3 linked regions of the Saccharomyces cerevisiae S288C genome follow. Changing the gene in region 1 together with any one later gene gives a genetic interaction. Each region holds a gene or a part of one and is shown on either strand. Other genes may lie near its edges. The genes, in order: PAU10, ATG20 and GIS4.

Region 1 (9,516 bases):
AACACTCTAAGATTCCGTAATGATTCAAAAGCAGAAATTCGTTGGCTCTAGAGTCTTAAACAACTTACGCAACTACATATATTCATGATTCAAACAGAATGTACCTTTAAAGGTTAGAAATACGACCTCTAATCTGCTTTAAGCAGATGATGCAAGTGCCTTCATGTGGTTAATATATGTGCTATCGTATTAAAAAAAGTTTCCCTTCTCACGTGTCAATAAAGCATCACGAAAACATTCAATACTAGTGTTTTTCGCACAGAAACTTGCCAAATAGGCACCTTTATGCAGCACAATAATTAAAAATGCCCAACGTGACACATTCCAAGGTAATTTTGAAAAATCGTAAGCGCCATTCGTGAAACAGAATAGTGTTACACCCGTGAGAGTAATAGCGAAGTCAACTTAAGCAGATATTGCTACTTTAATCCGCTTATGCTGAATCCATATTCATCTTTTATCAGCTTTGGACGAGAAATTAGTTGTCTTTTAGGCAATGTTCGTGAGTAAGTTGGAGAAAAGATCTGTTTCAAAAGAGTCAACTTGAAGTAATGTCTCAAAAAAAAAAATGATAGTATTGCTTGCTCAAGTGCTAATTATATCTTTTCCTTGACAAAAGTACAAGTTATGCGTCTCCATCGGAAGTATTTTAAGTAGAAATATTAGGTACCAAAAGAAGTAAAAAATTAAAGCTATTCTTATTGGGTCACACTGACTTAAAAATTAAAGGAAAATATTTAATTGCATGTTATTTTGTTTAACTACTATCTTACTTCCACTGGTCCACCGGACCCTCAGGCTTCCTTGCCTTGTGGAACCAGTTTTTTTCTATCGAGAGGAAATTCTCCAGTCTAGTGATATTCCATATGAGAATGGAACACAGGTAAGCAAGGCAGTGGTGCTGATTAATGCGTTGAGAGTGCCAACAGAAAGAACAGAAGCTTGTTTGGGCAGGATATGTACAAGAATGAGGAATTTTTCTTTAACAGGGCTAATTTTGTAGTTTTCTTTTGAGCGATACTTAAATAGCATTTTAGATTCAGAAAAAATGCGTTGCCTAGTTATTGAGCATTAAACTGCGCCCATAAATTCAGGAGGCACTACCAACCCCTGCCACAGAATATTTACTAGGTATAAGTGTTTAACAGTTGCAAGAACCAAGCACATAGATGAAATTATTCAACAGAAGATTCAAAACGTAAAATAAAAAATATTAGCGCCATCCACTGGCCTCTGTACTCTTTTCTTTTCTTTCTTTTTTTTTTTTAACAAGAAAAATGGTACCCGGGTATCGAAGATGTTTCATTACACAAAACCTTGGCACATGATTCAATTCACCCTAACATCAATTAACTCTATTCGAGAAACATGTGCAGCTAACTGTAGCTACCTCGTTTATATATCGCATTCATTCTTGATTGTGGTATCTAATTTCGAATGCCTTAGTGATAGTGAACGGCATCGTAAGCTTCCACGGGTAGGTACGACTCTCAGTACATCATTGCTATTTCACTTCAGCTTGGGAAAAGAAACTGTAACATTATCCCGCGGCAATCGTTTAGAGCATACTAATATAGGCTAAGACAATAGCTTCCGAACGAGGGTCCTTGAAAAAGAAATATGACAGGCACGTAAAAGGGTTCTTCGAAGGCACATGGCGCCCCTATAACGTCGATCTTACATTGCACGCATACGAATACACATTGGCGCCGCAAAACATATCTTCATATACGAAGTTTGTGACGAATTCACGAATCGTTCAAGGACAGGTGCATTTCTATAGTTACGGTGGATAAGGTGTGTTAGATGAAATATGTAGGATCTTGAGGTGAGAAAAGAGTGTCAGTCAGTGGCTCGTTTGGGCAGCACCAGCTGGTGAAGGAATTTGTATAAATAGAGCAGACTTGACCGCCTGTCTTTGTGAATATGCAGTCATTTTTTTCTTCCTAGTAGGGCTTATATCAGCACTAAAAAACAAAACAAATACAATGGTCAAATTAACTTCAATCGCCGCTGGTGTCGCTGCCATCGCTGCTACTGCTTCCGCAACCACCACTCTAGCTCAATCTGACGAAAGAGTCAACTTGGTTGAATTGGGTGTCTACGTCTCTGATATCAGAGCTCACTTGGCCCAATACTACATGTTCCAAGCCGCCCACCCAACGGAAACCTACCCAGTTGAAGTTGCTGAAGCCGTTTTCAACTACGGTGACTTCACCACCATGTTGACTGGTATTGCCCCAGACCAAGTGACCAGAATGATCACCGGTGTTCCATGGTACTCCAGCAGATTAAAGCCAGCCATCTCCAGTGCTCTATCCAAGGTCGGTATCTACACTATCGCAAACTAGAGACAAACGCCAATTTTACGAACGGGTTTCCATAGACATTGAAAATGAACGAACAAAATAAAATAAATAAAAAACTACTTTTTTTTGATGATATAAATACCGTAGATTATATAAATGTATATTAATATTATAAACCTATTTGATCAATGACAGTGTTCGTGAAGCATTTTATGAATACGATGAACATAAGAAAGAAACTTTTACACTATTGTAGAAAAAGCGTGGACGGTAATAAAGCTAACAGAGTATTTCCAATAAACAATAATGAAATTGGAAACGTATGACTTCGCAGCACTTTGTCTTTCCATAAAAATGTGTCGCTGCTTCTTTTTTCATTTTTTGGCGCGTCGCGTCGGGCCGTATAGAATATGCGTCACTTCTAAGAACAAGACTGCAGATCAGGGCAGTGCGAGTTACAAGTCATGGTACCAAACTCTCATTTGGAGATCCTCATTTTTTGACACCTAAAATATTAAGATTTATGGTTTGGGATAGTTTTTTGTAACTGTAACTAGAAATAAAGCTGAGGGGTTAGTGTTCTACCAAAACTAAGATAGAGGGTGGTAAGATGAAGTGAGATGAGACAATATCGTAATATCCGTTTAAGTATACGCCGCTGATAAGTTATAATATAGTAGGGTTATTTGAAGTTTCGTTATAACTCTACAAAAACAACGTACCTATCACCGTATCGTCTTGTTCAGATATAGTCTCTTCGTATGAGTAGTGTCACATACAAGATTAAAGATGCATCAGTTATCCTTTTAGGATATTGCGGTTAGCATATGGGAATGGAAATAGGATGCCATTGTATCATAGCACCCGCATGAGTGTGAACACACTACCGTATTATAGCTCAGTGAATAGAGAGTGTTACGACAGTGAGGTGGCATAGTATTCTAATGTAAGGTCTGTGTAAGTAAGAAATATCCTGAAATGGCATCCGTTCAAGCAAATTGCAATATTAAGGAACTTTTACGTTAGTGATACCATGATAGTGTTGCTACCACAAGTCAATATGTTTATGTATTATTGTTGAAGGATAGAATATTTTTATGTTTAGGTGATTTTGGTGGTGATTTTTCTGTAATATTGGCATAAGTGTATATAAATTGAGTGGTTAGTATACGGTGTAAAAGCGGTATAACGTATGTATTAAGAGCAGTTTTACAATATTTGGGGCCGCCGAATGAGATATAGATATTAAAATGTGGATAATCATGGGCGTTATGGGTAAATGGCACAGGGTATAGACCGCTGAGGCAAGTGCCGTGTATAATGATGTGAGTGCATTTGTACTGATTTAGTGAGAGATGGGCCATGGAGTGGAGTGGAATGTGAGAGTAGGGTAAGTTTGAGATGATATATACTGTAGCATCCGTGTGCGTATGGCATATCAGTATACAAGTGAAGGTGAGTATGGCATGTGGTGGTGGGATTAGAGTGGTAGAGTAAGTATGTGTGTATTATTTACGATCATTTGTTAGCGTTTCAATAGTGGTGGGTAGAACAATAGTATGGTGAGTAGTAGATGGGAGATGGTAGGGTAAGTGGTAGTGGAGTTGGATATGGGTAATTGGAGGGTAACGGTTATGGTGGACGGTCGGTTGGTGGTAGTACACAGGGAGATGGATGGTGGTTGGGGTGGTATAGTTGAATGAGTCAGGGTAACGAGTGGGGAGGTAGGGTAATGGAGGGTAATTTGAGAGACAGGTTGGTCAGGCTTGGCTTGTCTTAGTCTTAGGCTTAGGCTTCTCTCTGGTGTGGGTGTGTGGGTGTGTGGGTGTGGTGTGGGTGTGGGTGTGGTGTGGGTGTGGTGGGTGTGGTGTGGTGTGTGTGGGTGTGGTGTGGTGTGTATATATATGTCACTGTATTGCATGCTGGATGGTGTTAGACAAGGCCGTAGGGACATATAGCATCTAGGAAGTAACCTTGTACGAAAATAGGCAATATTTCCTGTTTAGGCGATTGTGACGCAGATTTTAGTCCAACGATCTAGCGTCAAGGAATTTTTTTATAGTGGGACATTGCACCAAGGAAGTAACTTGATACGTCGTGGGTGAATGGGTCTGTTTTCTTATTCGGCGGGGTAATACATTTTTGGGGGAAGTTTGTCTGTCTGACGCGCCATATGTAGGTACGCCAAAAAGGGCTCCTCTACTTCGAAGCGCGAGGTCGTATACCTAATAAGGAAATGTAATTTATAACTTTCTATTATATTGGTCTTTTCGAGAGCGGAAGAAGTTGTAGGCTAAGCGCAGGCTAAGCGTAGGTCCATATTTAAAGTATCCAAGAGAATATCCACGAAGCGGCTGAGCAACGAACAGAATCCTGGTTCTCCTCGACTAAGCAGATAGTTAAGATACTGTGCACCATGGAAATTGAAAACGAAAGTACGTACCGACTACTTTATTTTTGCAGGCCGGAAATCAAGCGATGAATGAGACATCCTTCTGTTTTCTATGTTGGGACAGACAGTCGCTTATCTTAGTGAGATTTCTTATTAACTGAATTTTCTTTGCTGCTGCTGGAGATTTGCACCTGCATAGCGCAGATTCTGCTTCTTCTCAATAGAGTAGCTTAATTATTACATTCTTAGATGATGATAAGACGGAAACTGGACAATCTTTTGTTTATATTGATGGATTTCTTGTCAAAAAGCATAACAATCAACATACTATTGTTAATTTCGAAACTTACAAAAATAAAATGAAAGTTTCCGATAGGCGTAAGTTTGAAAAAGCAAACTTTGACGAGTTTGAGTCGGCTCTAAATAACAAAAACGACTTGGTACATTGTCCCTCAATAACTTTATTTGAATCGATCCCCACGGAAGTGCGGTCATTCTACGAAGACGAAAAGTCTGGCCTAATCAAAGTGGTAAAATTCAGAACTGGTGCAATGGATAGGAAAAGGTCTTTTGAAAAAATTGTCATTTCCGTCATGGTCGGGAAAAATGTACAAAAGTTCCTGACATTTGTTGAAGACGAACCAGATTTCCAGGGCGGACCAATCCCTTCAAAGTATCTTATTCCCAAGAAAATCAACTTGATGGTCTACACGTTGTTTCAAGTGCATACTTTGAAATTCAATAGAAAGGATTACGATACCCTTTCTCTTTTTTACCTCAACAGAGGATACTATAATGAGTTGAGTTTCCGTGTCCTGGAACGTTGTCACGAAATAGCGAGTGCCAGGCCGAACGACAGCTCTACGATGCGTACTTTCACTGACTTTGTTTCTGGCGCACCTATTGTAAGGAGTCTTCAGAAAAGCACCATAAGGAAATATGGGTACAATTTGGCACCCTACATGTTCTTGTTACTACACGTAGATGAGCTATCGATTTTTTCTGCATACCAAGCAAGTTTACCTGGCGAAAAGAAAGTCGACACAGAGCGGCTGAAGCGTGATCTATGCCCACGTAAACCCATTGAGATAAAGTACTTTTCACAGATATGTAACGATATGATGAACAAAAAAGACCGATTGGGTGATATTTTGCATATTATCTTGCGAGCATGTGCGCTCAATTTCGGGGCGGGTCCCCGTGGTGGCGCTGGTGACGAAGAGGATCGATCTATTACGAATGAAGAACCCATTATTCCCTCTGTGGACGAGCATGGCTTGAAAGTATGTAAGTTGCGTAGTCCTAACACTCCACGAAGACTCAGAAAAACACTAGATGCCGTGAAAGCTTTATTGGTGTCGTCTTGTGCTTGTACTGCAAGGGATTTAGATATATTTGATGACACCAACGGCGTTGCAATGTGGAAATGGATCAAAATTCTGTACCACGAAGTAGCGCAGGAAACCACGCTGAAGGACTCTTATAGAATAACTTTGGTACCTTCTTCTGATGGTATATCAGTATGTGGAAAACTTTTTAATCGCGAGTATGTCCGCGGCTTTTACTTTGCATGCAAGGCTCAGTTCGATAACCTTTGGGGAGAGTTGAACAACTGCTTTTATATGCCTACAGTGGTTGATATTGCCAGCCTCATTTTGCGTAATCGAGAAGTTTTGTTCAGAGAGCCAAAGCGAGGAATTGACGAGTATCTGGAAAACGATTCTTTTCTTCAAATGATACCTGTTAAATATCGTGAAATTGTGCTGCCCAAGTTGAGAAGAGATACTAACAAAATGACCGCGGCTCTTAAAAATAAAGTCACTGTTGCAATTGACGAGCTTACGGTGCCACTTATGTGGATGGTCCATTTTGCCGTAGGATACCCTTACCGTTATCCAGAGCTTCAGCTACTCGCTTTTGCCGGTCCTCAGCGCAACGTATACGTCGATGATACAACAAGACGCATCCAACTGTACACTGATTACAACAAGAACGGTTCATCGGAGCCTCGACTTAAGACGCTTGACGGACTCACTTCAGATTACGTGTTTTATTTTGTCACTGTGCTAAGGCAAATGCAAATATGTGCGCTTGGTAACAGTTATGACGCTTTTAATCATGATCCTTGGATGGATGTGGTGGGATTTGAGGATCCAGATCAAGTAACAAATCGAGACATTTCGAGGATAGTTTTGTATTCCTACATGTTTCTGAATACCGCGAAGGGCTGTCTGGTTGAATACGCAACTTTTCGGCAGTACATGAGGGAACTTCCGAAGAATGCACCTCAGAAGCTGAATTTTCGGGAGATGCGTCAGGGGTTGATTGCCCTAGGACGGCACTGCGTAGGTAGCAGATTTGAAACAGATTTGTACGAGTCGGCGACGAGTGAACTCATGGCCAATCATTCCGTTCAAACAGGGCGAAATATTTACGGTGTGGATTCCTTTTCGTTAACTAGTGTCAGTGGGACGACCGCCACTTTATTGCAGGAACGAGCTTCCGAGCGCTGGATTCAATGGTTAGGCCTTGAAAGCGACTACCATTGTTCATTCTCTAGTACTCGGAATGCGGAAGACGTAGTGGCAGGTGAGGCGGCGAGTTCAGATCATGATCAAAAAATTTCAAGAGTAACGCGAAAAAGGCCCCGAGAGCCCAAGAGTACAAACGATATCCTCGTCGCAGGCCAGAAACTCTTTGGCAGCTCCTTTGAATTCAGGGACTTGCATCAGTTGCGCTTATGTCATGAAATATACATGGCAGACACACCCTCTGTGGCAGTACAGGCCCCACCGGGCTATGGTAAGACGGAGTTATTTCATCTCCCCTTGATAGCACTGGCGTCTAAGGGCGACGTGAAATATGTGTCGTTTCTGTTTGTACCGTACACAGTGTTGCTTGCTAATTGCATGATCAGGTTGAGCCGATGCGGTTGCTTGAATGTGGCCCCTGTAAGAAACTTTATTGAAGAAGGTTGCGATGGCGTTACTGATTTATACGTGGGGATCTACGATGATCTTGCTAGCACTAATTTCACAGACAGGATAGCTGCGTGGGAGAATATTGTTGAGTGCACCTTTAGGACCAACAACGTAAAATTGGGTTACCTCATTGTAGATGAGTTTCACAACTTTGAAACGGAGGTCTACCGGCAGTCGCAATTTGGGGGCATAACTAACCTTGATTTTGACGCTTTTGAGAAAGCAATCTTTTTGAGCGGCACAGCACCTGAGGCTGTAGCTGATGCTGCGTTGCAGCGTATTGGGCTTACGGGACTGGCCAAGAAGTCGATGGACATCAACGAGCTCAAACGGTCGGAAGATCTCAGCAGAGGTCTATCCAGCTATCCAACACGGATGTTTAATCTAATCAAGGAGAAATCCGAGGTGCCTTTAGGGCATGTTCATAAAATTTGGAAGAAAGTGGAATCACAGCCCGAAGAAGCACTGAAGCTTCTTTTAGCCCTCTTTGAAATTGAACCAGAGTCGAAGGCCATTGTAGTTGCAAGCACAACCAACGAAGTGGAAGAATTGGCCTGCTCTTGGAGAAAGTATTTTAGGGTGGTATGGATACACGGGAAGCTGGGTGCTGCAGAAAAGGTGTCTCGCACAAAGGAGTTTGTCACTGACGGTAGCATGCGAGTTCTCATCGGAACGAAATTAGTGACTGAAGGAATTGACATTAAGCAATTGATGATGGTGATCATGCTTGATAATAGACTTAATATTATTGAGCTCATTCAAGGCGTAGGGAGACTAAGAGATGGGGGCCTCTGTTATCTATTATCTAGAAAAAACAGTTGGGCGGCAAGGAATCGTAAGGGTGAATTACCACCGATTAAGGAAGGCTGTATAACCGAACAGGTACGCGAGTTCTATGGACTTGAATCAAAGAAAGGAAAAAAGGGCCAGCATGTTGGATGCTGTGGCTCCAGGACAGACCTGTCTGCTGACACAGTGGAACTGATAGAAAGAATGGACAGATTGGCTGAAAAACAGGCGACAGCTTCCATGTCGATCATTGCGTTACCGTCTAGCTTCCAGGAGAGCAATAGCAGTGACAGGTGCAGAAAGTATTGCAGCAGTGATGAGGACAGCGACACGTGCATTCATGGTAGTGCTAATGCCAGTACCAATGCGACTACCAACTCCAGCACTAATGCTACTACCACTGCCAGCACCAACGTCAGGACTAGTGCTACTACCACTGCCAGCATCAACGTCAGGACTAGTGCGATTACCACTGAAAGTACCAACTCCAGCACTAATGCTACTACCACTGCCAGCACCAACGTCAGGACTAGTGCTACTACCACTGCCAGCATCAACGTCAGGACTAGTGCGACTACCACTGAAAGTACCAACTCCAACACTAGTGCTACTACCACCGAAAGTACCGACTCCAACACTAGTGCTACTACCACCGAAAGTACCGACTCCAACACTAGTGCTACTACCACTGCTAGCACCAACTCCAGCACTAATGCCACTACCACTGCTAGCACCAACTCCAGCACTAATGCCACTACCACTGAAAGTACCAACGCTAGTGCCAAGGAGGACGCCAATAAAGATGGCAATGCTGAGGATAATAGATTCCATCCAGTCACCGACATTAACAAAGAGTCGTATAAGCGGAAAGGGAGTCAAATGGTTTTGCTAGAGAGAAAGAAACTGAAAGCACAATTTCCCAATACTTCCGAGAATATGAATGTCTTACAGTTTCTTGGATTTCGGTCTGACGAAATTAAACATCTTTTCCTCTATGGTATTGACGTATACTTCTGCCCAGAGGGAGTATTCACACAATACGGAT
Region 2 (12,199 bases), 1.3 Mb from region 1:
AGAGACGGGATTTAGTTTTACTGCGCATCATTTTCACGTCATACTCTTTGTCTCTCTGTTCTATCTCTTCGTATAAATATTTCAATAACTCCATTTGTCTATTCTATCTACCCGTTCTATCCTTACTACTAGATATCTTAAAGAAATAATAAAATAAGTAAATACAAAAAAAACTCGCTATTAATAATTTATCTCCGAAAGCCCTAGGGTGTGCTTTTCTTCCGTGCCCTAGTCTATTATTTTGAACCCTAGTTGGCGAAATTTTTTTCTAATATTCAGAAAAAAGAAACGTAGAGCTTATATGGTGAAGGAGTACAATGATACTAATAGTCTGTAGACGGCAAAAGGCATTCTTTTTGACTAGCACAACGACAGTTTGAGATTCTGTTGAAATAATCATTTATGTCTCTTTCGGTCGCCGAAAAGTCGTACCTATACGATTCACTAGCAAGCACGCCTTCAATTAGGCCCGATGGAAGACTACCTCATCAATTCAGACCTATAGAAATATTTACTGACTTCCTACCAAGTTCCAATGGATCGTCCAGAATTATAGCTAGTGATGGAAGTGAATGTATCGTGAGCATTAAGTCCAAAGTTGTGGATCATCATGTGGAGAATGAACTACTTCAGGTCGATGTAGATATCGCAGGCCAAAGAGATGACGCGCTGGTAGTAGAGACAATCACTTCTTTACTGAACAAGGTTTTGAAGTCTGGTAGCGGAGTAGATTCCTCAAAGTTGCAATTGACAAAAAAGTACAGCTTCAAAATATTTGTCGATGTTCTGGTCATTTCATCACATTCACACCCAGTTTCTTTAATATCCTTTGCTATTTATTCAGCGTTGAACTCCACATACCTACCGAAACTTATTTCAGCTTTTGACGACTTAGAGGTGGAAGAACTTCCTACGTTTCATGATTACGACATGGTTAAGCTTGACATTAATCCGCCTTTAGTGTTTATATTGGCCGTTGTAGGCAACAATATGCTATTGGACCCTGCAGCCAACGAAAGCGAAGTGGCCAATAATGGCCTAATCATTTCCTGGTCTAATGGTAAGATTACATCACCTATCAGATCAGTAGCATTGAATGATTCAAACGTTAAAAGCTTTAAACCTCATTTGTTGAAGCAAGGTCTTGCAATGGTGGAGAAATACGCCCCCGACGTAGTACGATCACTGGAGAATTTATAAAAATATAGTCACAATTAGATAAAAAGACAAATTAGTTTACATACTAAAAACTTCATGGTTAACAAAAGTGGGAATGAAACCTGATTCTTACATGTGTTGAACTGTATAGGAATGAACGATAACTGCGGTTGCCGTTTGAATATTCATTGATCTGATCACACCAAATTGTTGAATCTCTAAACATAAATCCAATTCGCTTAACAAAGTCCCCGGAATACCGAATGCTTCGGTTCCTAGCAAGATCAATGATTTTTTAGGGAATTGGAAATTGTTGTCTAGCTTCACTGATTTATCCGTTTGCTCTAGCCCAATTAATGTGTACCCTTCCTTCTTTTTCTCTTTCATGAAACTTGCAATCTCATCTAGGGCAACTTCCTCCATGGGCATCCATCTATCAGCAGTCACAGCAACATTTTTAAATTGAGGATGGTTTTTGACTTTGATGTCTTGTACAGTAAGCAGTCCCACACCTAAAACATCACATAACCTACAAATACCTCCCAGGTTTGGCGGCTTATCAACTAATGAAGATACCACAATCAATTCAGAACGTGTAACGACATCATTCGATTTTTTATTGTCCAGATCCAGAACGGTTTCCCAAGCTCCACTTTTTGTTTGCAGTGGAGAAGTGTCACAGGAGATGTTCGCGTTGTTAACAGATTCCGTATTGGTGTCTCTTTTATCAAGCCATAAGGACCTTTCATCGGTACCTATAGGAACAATATCTTTCTCCTGCAAATATTTTTCGAAAACAGACTCAGAAATGTACGGGCAATCATGGTCGGTAACTTTTTTGAGCACACCACCAAACATGTTCGTTAATTTCCTATCACCCTTCAGATCCCATATGTTGGCATCCCCGGCACGATATTGACCAAATATTTGAGTCTTTTTGGCATTGGAATATAAGTTCTCAATGATGTTTCTCAGTGTGTGATCCGATAGGTAGGCTTTGAATGTAGGCCATAATGAAATTATTAGAGAATTAGAAAAATGCCTTACCAGAGGTTTGTTTGAAGCTGCGTTAGGAACTAACGTGCAAATGAATCTGTCTAGTAACTGTGTAAATCCATATTTCTTTTCGTCGTTTCTTAAATCTTTCAACACCATAAAGCATATTTTTTCTGCGCTAACTACAAACACCGGTTTGCTATGATCCTCCAGCAATGAGAAGAGATAATCCTCAGCAAATTTTGGATTGCCAGTTTTATAATAATCAACAACCTTTGAGGAAATGAACCATTCTTTATATACTCTTACTAGTGGTGAACTTTCATCCTCGATACTCTTTAGAATTCTGATCATGCTAGTTTCGCTTAATTTTTTTTCATTGGTGGTTAGTAGTGATAATAATAACAATTGCCACTGCAACAACCTCTGTAACGCTTCGGCACCGTCGGTTCTCTTTATAGCATAAAGTGCGTTTGTTTTTTCAGTAACTTTTTCGATTAATCGAATTTTCAACTGATCATTTGCATATAAAATAGAATCAATAATAGATACTCTAGCCAATATTTCGTCGGGTCCGTACACCTTTTCATAAAGTTCATCGCCTTTTATGTAATAATTGTTCAGTTTGTGGTCAAATAGGCTGGAAATAACAGGTTTGAGCTTGTAAAGGTTGACATCCATTTGCGGCTGTTTGAAAACACCTACTATAATGTTAATCAACCACCAATAGTTGACATCTTCTCTTAACAATTTCCCATAAAACTTCATAAATACTCTGAGTTGTGATCCGAGAAGAGGGAGTAGGCTTCTTCTGGAATAACTCAATGATATAATCGTTTGTGCATGTTCCTCCAACTTCGAGGTCAAAGTATCGATATACTGATTTGATCCAAAGTACAGGATCACAGGATGAAATAATCCCTTAATTAGCATCAAATGCAGATCCCTTTCCTTCAAAACTAATCTTTCACTATTAATACATTCCCATATAAACGAAAATTTCTCAAAAATGAATTTCACTATGAAAATATCATCATCAGAAACAGATGTGGAGCAATGGATGTAGGAATCTATGATAAAGTACAATAATTTACAGACTGCCAGGTTCCCCAGATAATTCCCATTATCTTTGTTAATATTCTCGTCAACTAAGCGTAGTAGTATGTGAAGCTCATCATCATTTCCTTCAGAAGAGTCACGATTTAAGGCGTATGTTTTCAGGAAGGTATTTAAAAGTTCAAAGTAAGAAGAATAAGCGCTGTCCTTCACTTTAAAGCTCTCTCTTGAACACTGATTGGCAGACTTTTTAACCATTTCATATAGGCTCAGAAGGTCATTAAAATTTAGCTCGATTGTATCGAACCTACATTCATAAGTCTTCTGGTAAATTTCAGCAAAGAACTTGAATTTATCAAGCGAAAATTTTTCCATTACCGACTTAAATAAATTATTCACATTGATGGATTTCCATGTAGATATTGTAAAATTTGGGTAAGACAACAAAGCGGTTGCATTTTCATAGGTATAACCGTTCGAAGGTTCGCCTGAAAGTAGCTGAGTTAGAAAAGTAACTGCCTTTGAAGTGTAAACGGGTATATCTTGCTTCGACTTCGCAACTTCAATTAAAAAATCGGGAGTAATATCAATATCCTTGAAATCGAAGATGATAGATGCTAAGAGGTCAAAAATAGTATCCTTTCCGATGTTTGTCGTCAAGTTTTCTTTCGCTTGCAAATCGTCAAAGTGAGAAACGGCAAGATCCCTATAATCTTCAAAAAGAGGCTCAACATATTTGTATGTCCCTCCCTTTAACTTAATGTGTGAAACTAATGTAAACAATAATTCAGATGCGGAGACAGATGGATCAATGTACAGTAAGAACTTCAAGTAAATTGTTTGGATTGTAGTTTCGAGAACCTCTTCTTCGGCTGCAAAATCGTACAATTTCCTGATCAGACTCAAATGGTCAGAGTTGATTGTTTTCTGTTTGTTATTCTGGAAGAAAACTAAGATACCGTAGGACAAGTATATCCTAGAAGGGTCAAAAGAGGTCCCTTTTTCCACCAATAATTTCAAAATTTCAAATAATATATCTGATATGCCTTCTGTTGTTTGGGAAAGTAAGTTATTGACAAATAATGAAAGTTTTTCACCATGGGGACAACTGACACCTTTTACATCAAAATAATGAGCGGACATTGCAGCTGGAAGAAGAGTTTTTGTCAATAATGGCAAGTTTGAAGAGAATGCTGACATATTTGTAATCGAGAACATTAACGTCATCATGTATTTTCTGACACTCTCCATTGATGATTTCAATCCCGTAGAAAGCAAGATAAGGCCCCAACTATGGTGTAAATGCTCGTTATCAAAAATTTTTATTATATCTTGTTTGGCCGCTTGTATTTGATTCAATGATGTGTCCAGAGCAATCATTTCATATAAGGTGGTGAATTTCTTCCAGCTACCCAGCATCTCGATATTTGCTAGATCATTGCATTTATAAAATGTTGTTTGCAATGTTATACCATGAGATGACAGTTTTTGAATTGTTAATTTAAGAATTGAGAGTGCCAATTTTCTGTGTTCGTGCACATCATTATCCAGCTCTGTTTGAATGTGCCTCCAATAAGCATCGGTCTTTATATAAGTAATAAGTTCAGGAGACAACTCTGCTGCTAAAAGGAATCTTAGGAGAAAAGATAAACTGTTCTTTTGCTTCCAAGCTTGTTGGGAGCCTTCAGCGTACAATTGTTTGATAAATGTCCAAATGAGCTTATCAAAGTTACTATCGGTATTGCAGCATTTCGATAAATATTTGATATGCCATCTCATTAACTTGGAGCAGGAATCAGCAATCTCTTCCGAATTACAGCCTAACAATGGAACAATGATAAAATCTAGGCATTTGGACGATATACCATTCTTACATTCGTCAAATAAATATACAACTTCTAAGTAGTGAAGCAGGCTAAGGATATCTAAGTGCAGATTTTCATGCTTGATATTAGCGTTTTGTTCCTCAGCAAAAGAATCGAAAAATGGTTGTACAATCTTTTTTCCAAAGTTGTCATTGAAGAGATGTTTATAGTTTTCGCTAATGATGTCATTTAACCGGTAGCTCATCCACACCTGAAATTTATGCCATACACTGGGTAAACAACATAGTAATTGTGCAGAAGTTCTTAGCGCCTTGTTCATTTCAGCCCTCGAAGAGCGAAACATTTCCCTGGCTTCACCGTCTATACTAGCATACGCAATGACCTGCTCAGTAATTTTTTCAAAGATTGGTGTTTCAATGTTGCTGTCCGTCGTTATATCCAGTGGCGAAGTTTCAATCAACTCCAGCACCTCTTCTAAGCTGTCATTCTGAATCAAGTCTGATATAAGCTTTAGTTGCTCTTCGCGTGGTAAATATTTGCAGATGAGAGCACCTCCAACCATTTTGCTGGTAAAAAAAAGGTATAGAGTTTGTAACGTTCGTTAAACAATTCTTTTCACCGGATTTTAATAAGGCTTGGCTTATTTGCTTACTAGCAATTATATAGTTACAATAGTGCTGTTTCAATCTTGCTCATCGCCATGGTGAAACTTTTCGAAAAACACTTGAATTTTCATTCACGTGATCTACATTCCCTTACCCGACAACTCACCCATTGTGCCCCCTTTAAGATATGGCTATTGAGTAAGCCAATATTTATCGATTTACAGCAAGTCATCTCCAAAATGAAGAGATGACTAGCTCGAATACTGGTGGTGCAATTGAACATACCATCTAGAAAAGTTGTCTTCTACAGCACACAATGTCAGACTTAAATGATGTCCAAGAAAATGCTAAATTGAATTCGGAAACTCGGAATACAGGAAAGGCTGAACCACCTCATGGGACAACTGAGTATGTGGCAGAGGCAGAAATTTCTAAGAATGGAGTTGGATCGCCAAAAAAGAGCCCAAAAAAGGGTAAGGTTGGAAAGGGGGACAATAACAAAGTAGAAACTGAGTTAGTACACACAGCCCTGTTAGAAAAAGACAACCCATTCATGGAGGAGGGGCCAACAGGATTCACAAAATCAGCTTTATTAGAAATACCCGGTATGAGAAGCCATAACCTAAAGAACCCGAATGAAGATTACGAGGATGACTCTGAGGGATTATTGCCTTTAAACCAAGAATCGAATGCAGAAACATGTAGAACAAGTCTTAGTGGAAGTATTAACTCCATGAACGGAGAGACCTCTGCGTCAGAAGAACCTTCTGTAAGTAATAGAAAGAAGTCCGCTAGGATACACATACTTGAAGCGAAAAGAGTTTCCGAAGGTCAAGGAAGAGCCTACATCGCCTATGTTATTCAGTTTGAAAATTCTACCGTTCAGAGACGTTACAGCGATTTCGAGAGTTTGAGAAGTATCTTGATAAGATTGTTTCCTATGACGTTGATACCGCCGATTCCAGAAAAGCAGTCAATAAAGAATTATGGTAAGTCAATAACTGGTTCGAGTTCAAAGTATTTGCTGCCCTCAGAAGGTTCTGGTTCAGTAGATCTATCATTGTCTGTGATACATGCGTCGGTCAATAATAGTGATGAAAAGTTAATACGGCATAGGATAAGAATGCTCACTGAGTTCTTGAACAAACTTTTGACGAACGAAGAAATCACAAAAACATCTATAATTACCGATTTTTTGGATCCTAATAACCATAATTGGCATGAATTTGTTAACAGTTCGTCCACTTTTTCATCTTTACCGAAGAGCATCCTCCAGTGTAATCCACTAGATCCCACTAACACCACTAGAATTCATGCCATGTTACCAATACCGGGCTCCTCGTCACAGTTATTGTTGAATAAGGAGTCCAACGACAAAAAAATGGATAAGGAAAGAAGTAAGTCGTTTACTAATATTGAACAGGATTACAAGCAATATGAGAACTTGTTAGATAACGGGATTTATAAGTATAATAGACGAACCACGAAGACTTATCACGATTTGAAATCGGATTACAATGAAATCGGTGAGGTATTTGCACAGTTTGCCCATGAACAGGCTCAAGTTGGGGAATTGGCCGAACAGCTTTCTTACTTAAGCAATGCCTTTTCGGGGTCCTCGATTTCTTTAGAAAAATTAGTTGGAAGACTATACTACAATATAAATGAGCCTTTAAATGAATCTGTTCATATGGCAACTTCTGCAAGAGAATTGATCAAATACAGAAAATTGAAATACCTGCAAAATGAAATGATTAAAAAGTCTCTGAATTCCAAAAGAGCACAGTTGGAGAAGCTGGAAGCGCAAAACAATGAATATAAGGATGTTGACAAAATAATTGACAACGAAATGTCTAAAAGTCATACTATTAATCTGGAACGCCCTAATAATAATACAGGTAGCGGTGGGAAATCATATGGTGGCAAACTATTCAATGGATTTAACAAATTGGCATCAATGGTAAAAGATTCTGTGAAGTATCAAGAAACAGATCCGCATACCGCAAGTATCAATTTGAAGAAAGAAATTGAACAACTGTCTGAATCATTGGAAGTTACTGAGAATGATTTGGAGGTCATTTCAAAAGTCATCAAAAATGACCAGCTACCTAAATTTTCTAAAGAAAGGGAAGTAGATTTATCAGAAATTTTAAAGCATTATTCCAGATATATGAGAAATTATGCCCGTCAAAATTTAGAAATTTGGAAAGAAGTCAAAAGACATCAAGATTTTGCATAGTATTATGAGCATTTTTTTTTAGCGTTATAGCATACTTGATATATATATATATAAACAACGTGAAGATCAAATAACGTCAAATGTATTAAATAGACTAAAATATTATGCACTTCTCTTCGGATTTATTGCTCGCGGGCTGGTTGACGTTACATGGTCCATTCCACTGAAATGTTTTAAGAGATGCCTATATGGCCAACTCAAAGTTTTGAAAAAGGGAACTAGGTTCACATAATATGGGGCATTTAGTGTTTGCAGATGATTATGCTCCATCGCAGAGATTATCGCTAGTGCCAGTTGGGAAGGTATGATGTCAGGAGCCAATAACTTAGATGGTGTAGGGACATCAATAAACATATTAGTTTTGATTTTTCCCGGGCACACCAGTAGTGTTTTTATTCCAGTTTTATTACATTCCGTGGACAAACTTCTGAAATGCCTGCTCATACACTTGTGAAAACCAATCATTGCTCCTTTTGATGCACCATACGATGTCAGCCTTGCAGGAGTCAGTTCTCCGAGGACTGAAGCAATGTTAATTATAAAGCCTTCCCTATTGTCTATCATATCTTCTGCAAATGTACTGATGATTCGGTAAGCACCTATTAAGTTTATGTCGATCAATTGTTCTACCTCCTTGTTTGTCATATGTTCTAACTTTTTGATGTGAGCAACACCAGCATTATTTATAATTATATTAATGTTGCCATGATCTCTTTCAATAGCTTTTTTCAAATTTTTAATTTCATCTAGACTTGTTATGTCGCATTGATAGTAGAAAATGTTATTATATTCTACCTGAGCAAAAGTAGGAAATGATTGAATATCTGCCACAATAACTTTATTAATTCTTCTGGAAAGTTCCTTTGCAAGTTCAAATCCGAGTCCACTAGAACCACCGGTTATTAGTGCAGTTGCATTTTTAGAAAGGATGGAAGGGTTGTAGCTGGGCAGACTTAGGATGACTGATGGAAAATCCTTGAGGTGTTTTGTAGTTCCACTCGCTCTATTTATTTTATTCTTGCGTACCATAATTAATAATATTTCTTACCCATAAAACTATGTTAAATATGTCACTGAATCTCTATTGAGGTGTCCTTTTGATGATGCGGTTTCAGATATGAGAAATGTTCATTCAAGAAGTGTCACAAATTCTGTTCCTCTGCTGACGCCCGCTACATATTGACGTTCAAAAATATAGAAGAAAAAGGCAGTAAAGCGTTAACATAAGAAAACTAAAGAGCAAGTCTGATTTGGCACTACCACGCTTCCAACAGAAGTAATTGTTGCTTCAAATAAGTTCGCAGCATGTGGATTCAAGTCCACAGATGCGATATTTAGGAGCCCAATCAGATAATATTGATTCCGGGTTATCTCTTGTTTGTGTCGGCACAGGGGATTTAAATTGTGTAATGCTCAAGACAAGTTATTGATGAGAACAAGAGATGGTATATAAAACTGCTCTCTGAGGTATAGCTTTTGTTGAGGTAGGCATACAAGATTTCGGGAATGAGCACTATTAGTACCACAACGGCACCTGAGTTTATCAGAGTAAAGAGAAGAAGGGATGAGGATTCTGTGCAGGCATTATGTATGTGTTGTTATTCTACCGATATAACAAAAATGCGTTTGACTAACTAAGTTCATCTGGGACAATTCAGTAATTGATGAGGGGAAAAGAGTGAAGAAGCAGAAGTTCATATTTAAATTATCAAAGACTGTGAGCTCTGAAAGCTATCAATCCGAGCAAGAGTCTTCTACGCCACTCTTAAAACTGGCTCATGAAGATCATCGACATTTTGTATTGGAACAAAGAAAAAAAAGTCGTAGAGACTCAGATGATGAAAAATCACAACAGCGGCTTGCAGCAGAAGGAAGTACTGTAGATGACGATGGGTTACCGCCAGAGATCAATCAAATGGTGAATGACTATTTAAAGTTGAATAAAGGTGTAGAAAAGACAGAAAGAAAAAAACCAAGTAGGAAATATTTTACTGGGGATTCTGCAAAAATTGCATCACTACCCAGTTTAGATTACGTTTTTGACATCTACCATTTGGAGAAAATTCATGACGATGAGGTTGCTAGATATAACAACGAGAAAAATATAGGGTTTGTGAAAATTATTGAGCATATAGATTTGGCTCTTGATGAAGAAAGTGATCCCAATGAAGCCCGTTCAGACGATGAGGATTCTAATGACGAAAACTATTACCAAAATGATTATCCGGAGGATGAAGATGATGATAGATCTATTCTATTTGGTAGCGAAGGAGAGGATATAGCTGCATTGGGTGAAGAGATTGTTATAGGGGTTAATAAGAGCAGGTTTTCCTCTTGGAATGACGATAAAATTCAGGGATCTAATGGGTACCACGATGTGGAGGAAGAGTACGGGGATCTTTTTAACAGGCTTGGAGGAAAAAGTGATGTCTTGAAATCCATAAATTCCTCGAATTTCATTGACTTGGATGGCCAAGAAGGTGAAATAGAGATAAGTGATAACGAAGATGATTCTGATGAAGGAGATGATATTGAATACCCTAGAAATGAATTTTTTCCGACGGATGTTGATGACCCATTGGCGCATCATAGGGACAGAATTTTTCATCAGCTACAGAAAAAAATTAATAGAAGCTAAATTTGCCGTCAGAAACTGTTCAATGTATGTAAGTAACTGCATCTGTAATTTTATCTTTAGATAGTAGAAAATTCATGTTTAACCGCTTTTTCACTTCATGAACTTTTTTTTCTCCGGTGTGGAAACACAAAGATTCAAAGCAAAACTATAAAAAATCACGTCAATTACTTCTGAAATAGATAGAAGAAATGCATAAAATTATTGCTGTTTACTTAAAATATAAACTTATTCTGCAATACATTAATTGATCAGTTCGAAAGGGTTGCTGTGCGAGCAACGAGATCCAGATACTCTTTTAACTTTCCACTAGATTGGAATAATAAATAAATCTTGTCGTTCTCATTAGCGACCAATGAGGTAAATGCCAGGGCTTCCGAAATAAATTTTGGGATCTTTAACAACTTTGCGGCTTCCACTAACTTTTTATGCAATTCCATCAGTAGAAATGGAGTATATAGGGCTCTAATCTCATACAGGATTTCATAATCTGCCGAATCCGCGAAATTAGAGGAAGTTAAATCTACTAAAAATGTCTTGATCAATTCAAATGTATCCTTTGAAAAACCTTGCAATTTCTCTATTAAAGTAGGAATGTTCGATTCAGAGCTTAACAAGCTAACGGATTTTTGCCATTCTTCATATTCTCTTATGCCCTTTATCAAATGCTCATATTGAGTTATTTCTTCCAAAAACTGATCTTCATTTTCATCCTTTGATATGTTATCGGCTATTTTCTCTAATTCATAATTCTTGCATATTTCTCCAATATTATTTCTCTCCATAAATTGTTCGAGAGCCTTTACGCGGCCATTTAACAAAAATCTCCTCGATAAGGCAATGATAGAGTGGACAGCGTCCACATAAAGCTTCCCTTCAATAAGCCATTCCACGCCATATATTAAGTGCATATCAATGTTGTTTACATCGAAAGATATGGAAATTTCGTTAGATGGTGAATATTCTTGTTCGGTTTCATCGAAAACACGCTGTGTGGTTCTTCTCAAAATATTTGAGGCAGGTAATCTTAGAAAGTTTATTGTCTCAATTTGCTTTTTCCTTACTTGGGGGTCCTCTAAAGAAGACAATATGAAAGAGCATGCCTCTAAGCAGTCTGACTCATTCAGGAAAGTAGCATATATTGGAATATTTTCATAAAGGCCTTGCAATTTCAGAAGACTGATATACGTAGTAATGAGCTTGGACTTATCAACCTCTTCAACAGAACCTGGATTAATTATATCAAGGCAAATGGCTAAATGTGTAACTATCCTCAGAAGATAAGGCTTATCTATAATATCGTTACTAGCTTCGGTTCCCTTGACGACATCAAGCAACATTTCCACGGATGAATGAATAACTGATGGCAAAGAATCTAGTATGACAGATGCCATTAAAACTCTGATTGGATGTTCACTTTCTGAGGGATGCCTTGAAGCCACTCTATTAAGCACCTCTTGTACAGTTAGCGCGTGTGAAGGTAATGGTAAAATCAGTTCATCAGTACCTACTTGATTGTTTTCCAAAAGATAATTTTCAATTTCAGTTTGTAAAATTTGATTTAAGTGTATGTGCAGATCAGACTCCCAATCCGAATATTGCAGAACTTCTTGGTTGGGAATAGCGCCACTCAAATAGCTGTATATCGCCCTTTCATAAGGGTCCAAACCGGCCTGCTGCGAAA
Region 3 (6,696 bases), on another chromosome or scaffold:
TTCTACAGGCATGGTTTCGTCACTCATTCACGCTAACGTTGTCTACAAATTATTTGAGTAATATTGTAAAATCCTCCAGCTCCACCTCATCACCTGAAAAATCTGGAAAAAAAAAGTGCGAAGACATCAAGCAGCAAGATACTTCTCATAATGAAACCAAATAGAGTGCCTATATTAACAACATTTTCTTCATGTAAACAATATTGGCCGCGCTGATGACGAACGACATTCAAATGTCTAAAACGGCTAAACTTAGTGAATACATTTACAAATTCATTTCTGTTTCGGAGGGGTGACAGAATGACTATAAATTCCATGCTTAAGACTTATCGCCGATATAAGTAAATATTGAAATGAAAATTAATCACCATCGACCGACTAGAGTTCGCATAAGTATATTATCGTGTACGGTGTAAGAATATAAATAAATGACGAACGGTCGTCAAACTTAATGGGAGCTGAAACACAAGGATCCGAATTATGATAGGGTAGTGAATGGCGACACATAAGCGAATAAAGAGAGATCATAATGCTACTGTGTAGAAATATTGATCACTTCTCGTGGGTTCGTAAATCCTCGGGGAAAAACTACAGTATACTTTGTATTCGCAAAAATATTACCGTTCCAAATAATAGTATGCCAACGATTATCAGCAAGTTCATCTCATTCACAGTACCCAGAAATACGAAATGAACAACTTTACACAACGATGATTCCTTTTCTCATAATACTTTCATTCGATTCATCCTTATATATTACTCACACACATCAGTTGCTCCAAAATCTAATAACACTGTGATCCCTGTTCTACTACTCTACTTTAATTAATTCCATCTTTTAACAACCTATACTATGGAATATAATTGATAACGATTTTAATTTTTTGAACGAGTAGCCGATAGACCAATATTACCTGCTGTTAGAATCAAATATGAATATAGACAATGTAATTATGTAACCAGAAGGAATCACAAGAAAACAGAATACACAAATAATCAAGTTAGTATGGCAACTTGGCCGAGTGGTTAAGGCGAAAGATTAGAAATCTTTTGGGCTTTGCCCGCGCAGGTTCGAGTCCTGCAGTTGTCGTTATTTTTTGCCTCTTGATGGATTTTTAAGTTTTGCGCTCATGCTTGTTATGATAATAGGAGAGCGAAATGCGGTAATTTTGTTTACGTCCATAATCATTTTTTCGTTTTGAGATTATTTCGGATCGGCAAATGCATTTTTTTAGCTCTGGAAATGTTGTTTTCACTTTTTCGCTTGCTTATGTGCATCCTAGGACTTTAGTTCACACCATCGATTATTTCTGTTAGGTTACACAGCATCTTTTACGTAAATGGCATGTGGCGATTCGCCAACTGGTTTCTCCTCATCGTTCCTAGCGCGGGGCTGACGGCCTTCCTCTGTGTTTTCAGGTAGTATCATCGCTATCGCACTCCACCAGCTACGAAGCCGGTGCAGGCAGAAACATTACTTGCATAGTAATACACGAAATTTATTTACTTTAAACCTTTATATCGAATTTATATCCCTAAACATTGAATTCTTCTCTTTTTTTTTCTTTTTTTAATTAGTTTTTTTCCTATTGTAGTTTTTTCCATCGCAAGCTAGATAAATATCTTCAACTTATTCACTTTGGCAGGACCAGATTTAACTGACTTGTGTAGCTAAGGAACGTGAAGGCTGAACAACAGCGGGAACTAAGTGCAGAATATATCGGCAGAAGTTTTGCAGAAATAACCCCTCATTAACACTCACTCTCATCCTTCAACTGCTCGAAAGACGGTTAACAAAAACCATCAAAAAGCACTCTGTTACTTAAATATAATGCAAAAATCCGTTAGAGTGGGCGACTATTTTGACAATGATGACAATGGTTTGTGGTCGTGGTACTTAACAAACCTCAGATTAGGCGATTTTGAAGAACTTATAGGCAATCAATTAAAATACACTCTGTTAAAAAGATTTCTGAATAGTCATTTTTATGGTGATAACAATATTTCGGCCAGGCCAAACAAGAAGATTTTGTTAGTTTCCATCCCAGAGAATGTTCATGAAGATATCTCCATATTGGAAATCTTCCTCAAAGATTACTTTCATCTGGAAAAATTAGAACACATTCAAATCTCAAAATTAACTCACTCCCACTGCTACAATCATGAAAATCATTACCTATTGACGGACAACCTCAACAATTTCCAAGACCCTACCTTTTTAGAATTTGCGAGTACAAGTTGGCAAGTTCAAAAAAATTCCAAGGCTTTAAACAATAACAATAGAAATTCAATACCACCACCCACAATATCTTCATCAAAAGCTTCAAACGGGAAGCTAGAATCAAACGTTTCGGATGATCAGTGGTCAAATATAAATACCCAGACTTCAACAGCTACCCGAACTAATACGAATACGAGGACTTTGACATCTCCGGACACAGTTGATATAAACGTTACATCCGTGAATAGTCAAAGCAATAATAATGATACGCCTCAAGATAATGAAAACGAAGTTGATGAAGAGGATGCCACAAGTTCTATAGTCCTAAATTTTTCTCATTCGCGAACAGTAGATTCAAAGCCTAATAGACTACCCAAAATTTTTCCATCATACACTAATGAAGACTATACACCGTCACATTCCGAGATAATGTCAATAGATAGTTTTGCTGGCGAAGACGTATCATCCACATATCCCGGACAAGACCTGAGTTTAACTACTGCCAGGCGCGAGGATGAAAGTGGTCAGGATGAAGTTGAGGATCATTATAGCAGAGTCTCACATGATCTAGGTGACGAGAGTATCGATCAAGCAAGTTATAGCATGGAAAGTTCGGTCAGCTACACTAGCTATAGTAGTAGCAGTAATAGTAGTAGTGCCCACTACAGTTTAAGCAGTAGCAGCCGAGGTAATCCAAAACGTGAAAACATCGATCACACGAATGCCACCTATGTCTCTGAATTGTCAAGTATAACGAGTTCTATAGACAATTTAACTACTTCGACAACCCCAGAGGAGGAGGATAATTTAATTCATCATAACTATGACGCCCAAGGGTATGGATCAGGAGAGGACGATGGAGAAGAGGTTTATGATGATGAAGATCTTTCTTCTTCCGATTACTCAGTACTATCCATTCTACCGTCAATCTCAATTTGTGATTCTCTAGGGTATTTTAGGCTAGTTTTGCAATCTATATTAATTCAGGATCCAGACACCAAAGAAATTTTTACTGCGATTAGACAGTCAAACAATAAACCTACAATGGCAAGCGTTACCGATGATTGGTTGCTGTATGATTCCAATTTTTCAATGAATAATTTACAAATTCTAACACTTCAAGATTTGCTAGATATCAAGAGATCATTTCCAAAAATTTTATTTTACACAATGGTTATTGTGACAAACTCCGGCAAACAGGTTGAAGAAGAATTCAAAAATCCCAATTATGATAATAGGGAAGGAATATCAAAAGAGCAACCTCTAGATTCTGAGTTATCATTAACTAACGACCCGCAACAATATTTCCCGACTGCATATAATAACGGTTACAACGACTATATTGACGATGAAGACGATGAAGACGATGGTGACGATGCTTCTTTATCAGAACAGTCAGGCCCACAAATGTACATACCAACTAGAATGGAATCTAACGTTACTACAGCACATCGTTCTATTAGAACCGTAAACAGTATCGGGGAATGGGCATTCAATAGACATAATTCTGTTACAAAAATCGATAAAAGTAATAGTAACGAGTTGGATAACTCTAAAACAGGTGAAAGTACAGTTTTATCAAGTGAACCTCATCCAATGACACAACTGTCGAACTCTAATACGACTTCCTCGAATTTTAGCCATTCTTTGAAGACAAAAAATTCTCACAAACCTAATTCCAAGGGTAACAATGAAAGTAATTCCAAAAATGAGTTGAAAAAGATAAAGAGTTCCATCAATGCTATGAGTGCCGTGGAAAGGTCCAAAAGTTTGCCTTTACCTACATTACTAAAGTCTTTAAGCGGCATAGATAACCCTACTCATGCCACTAACAAGGATAGAAAGCGTTGGAAATTCCAGATGAATAGGTTTAAGAATCATAAAAACAGTGGTTCTGCAGGTACGGATAAATCTCAGCGTTGTGCCATCATGTAAAGAATACTTTACCACTATATATAGATATATATATATACTTGTATTATAATTATAATCATTATTGGTACTATTGCACTTACCAGTTTCTATATTGACATTGAAGGTGATACAGAGAATTCATACATAGTCTAAATATATTTAAAGTATAGGTTGTGTACATAAAAAAATACCGAGGTGATACAATCTACCTACTTTCGGCGAAAAGGCGAAGCAAGGTAAGTTAAAAAAGTTTAATTGTAACATTATAGAAAAAGTTCTTTCGGTTACCCAGTTTTCCATAAAGTTCCCGCTTTAGTTCATATGCTTATTCAAAGCTAATTGAACGTCTTCTGCATTGATGACAACCCCTCTTTCTGAACATTTTGCCTTTGCCATTAGCTCGGAACATAAACCATCGACATCAATATCTGAGTATTTCGGATGTGTTGTTATTCTATCCCAAATTTCCGAACACCTTAGTAAAGAGCCTTCCTTAGATGGAACGACATCATTATCATTATCGTTATCATTGCCATTATTGATTTTGTCAGCATTCTGTAAACTACTGCCATTTTTTTGTGAGATTTCGCTTTCATTTCCTGGTACCGATTGTAGATATTGTTTCGGAAGCTCTGGTTCTTCGTTAATTAACTGGTTCTTGATTAAACTTGACTCATCGTCTGACATATTAGCGGCTTTTTTGTCATCATCGTCATCCTCTAAAAACTCTCCAAATAAATTGTTACCTTCCTTCGATGAATCTCTAAAAAACATGTCGTAGTCAAACTTATTTTGAGATTGAGATTCAGAGAAAGGTTGTAATTGAATATTAGTTGAATTGTCGTCTGGGAAAGCCAGATTTGCGTTGATAAAAGGTATATCCTCTTTGCTGCTTTGCAGTAGGCTGGGATTGGTGTTAGAGGCAGCATTATTGCCGATGCCGGTAGATCCCGGACTAAAAAAATTAGTAACTTGGTTCATATCAAACGGTGACTCGGATATGAATGGGAGTACATCATCGCTATTATTATTGTTCTTTTTGTTCTTATTGCCAGTGCTACCAGTGCTATCAGTGCTACCAGTGCTATTATCATTCACGACGTAATGATTGGCACTCATATCGAAACCAAGTCGGCCAAAACCGGAGAAGGAATTTTCATATTTAGTAGCATCAGTAGCAATGACATTAGCAGGAGTATTATCTGTAATATTAGAATGTGATTCCCAAGTATTTGTTAAAGCAGGAGAATTTGAACTTAGTATAGAAGATGACGCGAAAACTTCTTTATCAAGAGCCGAGATGGGTTTCTTGGGAATGGGACATTGCCTTGTTCCACATACCTGGTTCATTTTCGAACAAAACTCCGAAACTTGTTCATCAAATTGGTTTTCAAAATTAAAGTCATTAGAAAACATATTACTGTCTAAATTCTTAGTTTTACTATTGCTGCCATCATCACCTGACACAAACCTGTTAGTATATATTACATTATCTAACCAATCCATCGAAGTGGAGGAGTTTGGTGTGTTATTAAGAACATCGTTACTATTTGAAAGGGAATCCAAAGTAGCGCTGGAGGAATCTGTAGCGTCACTTAATTTCTTTTGTGTCTGATTTATAGGCATAGGAGCCGAATGACTTGGATCATTTGGTGAAGGTAATTGTTTCCCCACATTTTTACTGTTGTCGTTGTCGTTGTCGTTATCAAGCGGATATTGAAACGTGAAATTCATCTTTTGTTTAACATTTTCTTGTATGTCATCATTGGGTGTGTCAATTGGCTCGCTATTGCTGTGGTTAACGTTATTTTTTGAAAAATGCAAATTAGGATCTCGCCTTGCTAAATATTCCAGCACTTTTGAGTCATTTCTTGTCTCTGGTCTATATTTTTTTAACTCATTCACCAGAGTGATTAACTGGTCCCTCAAAAAAGTAGCTTCCACTTCATTTTGCTGCTGAATACTCTCTAAACTTTGTACCTTCTTCTCCAATTCCTTCATCTTCCTCTCCTTACGTTCCCTAAAAGCTCTTTGAGCGGCCCGATTTTGGGCAGTCCTCTTCTGCTTAGTTTCAGGATCCAAATCTTGCTTTTTGCTAGTTTTGCTACCCTTCTTCTTCGGTTGCTCGCTATCCTCGCCATCACGTGTACCAGTACGTCTATGTTCATTTTCTATTTCATCGTGACGAGATTTTGAACCCTCAAACTCCGCTAATGAACCCGGAGAAACGACATCCAGCGACCTCTTGGCGGTAGACACACTCATGGTTTAAGAAACAACTTTTCCTTCTTTAAACGTTTTGGGTGGCAAAAAACTTCCCTTAAACAAACTAAAAATGGCTCGTGTTCATGCACAAGTCAACCAGGGGCTCAGGAAAAAAAGCTAAACACCAATCCTATATATAACGTAAAGGTACTGTGCTTAATCGGTAAACGGAAGACTATTAAGCAAATGTATCTCTTAAGACCTTACGCATCCATCAGTTGCCACCCTCCTACTCTTCATCGGAGGGTTTCCGGTTCCCATGACAAAGACGGCGCTTTGGCGGGGCCCAAATTGTT

What was found.
Region 2: mutations in PAU10 (region 1) and ATG20 together harm fitness more than expected from each alone (negative genetic interaction), as found in Saccharomyces cerevisiae (2 studies listed by BioGRID).
Region 3: mutations in PAU10 (region 1) and GIS4 together harm fitness more than expected from each alone (negative genetic interaction), as found in Saccharomyces cerevisiae (2 studies listed by BioGRID).

What each region holds. Positions count from the first base shown.
Region 1 is NC_001136.10:1,521,261-1,530,776, forward strand, and holds PAU10 (seripauperin PAU10), read left to right. Parts: upstream 1-1,988; coding exon 1,989-2,351; downstream 2,352-9,516. Other genes in the region: YRF1-1 (Y' element ATP-dependent helicase protein 1 copy 1), read left to right, coding at 5,061-9,516.
Region 2 is NC_001136.10:252,314-264,512, reverse strand, and holds ATG20 (Atg20p), read left to right. Parts: upstream 1-5,957; coding exon 5,958-7,880; downstream 7,881-12,199. Other genes in the region: TMA17 (Tma17p), read left to right, coding at 1-1; exosome non-catalytic core subunit RRP42, read left to right, coding at 403-1,200; TRM3 (tRNA (guanosine(18)-2'-O)-methyltransferase), read right to left, coding at 1,288-5,598; YDL114W (short-chain dehydrogenase/reductase), read right to left, coding at 7,983-8,909; IWR1 (Iwr1p), read left to right, coding at 9,387-9,468, 9,539-10,518; NUP84 (Nup84p), read right to left, coding at 10,767-12,199. UniProt on the Saccharomyces cerevisiae protein: Required for cytoplasm to vacuole transport (Cvt), pexophagy and mitophagy. Also involved in endoplasmic reticulum-specific autophagic process and is essential for the survival of cells subjected to severe ER stress.
Region 3 is NC_001145.3:253,552-260,247, reverse strand, and holds GIS4 (Gis4p), read left to right. Parts: upstream 1-1,831; coding exon 1,832-4,156; downstream 4,157-6,696. Other genes in the region: TRM12 (tRNA(Phe) (4-demethylwyosine(37)-C(7)) aminocarboxypropyltransferase), read right to left, coding at 1-27; DNA-binding transcription factor YAP1, read right to left, coding at 4,448-6,400.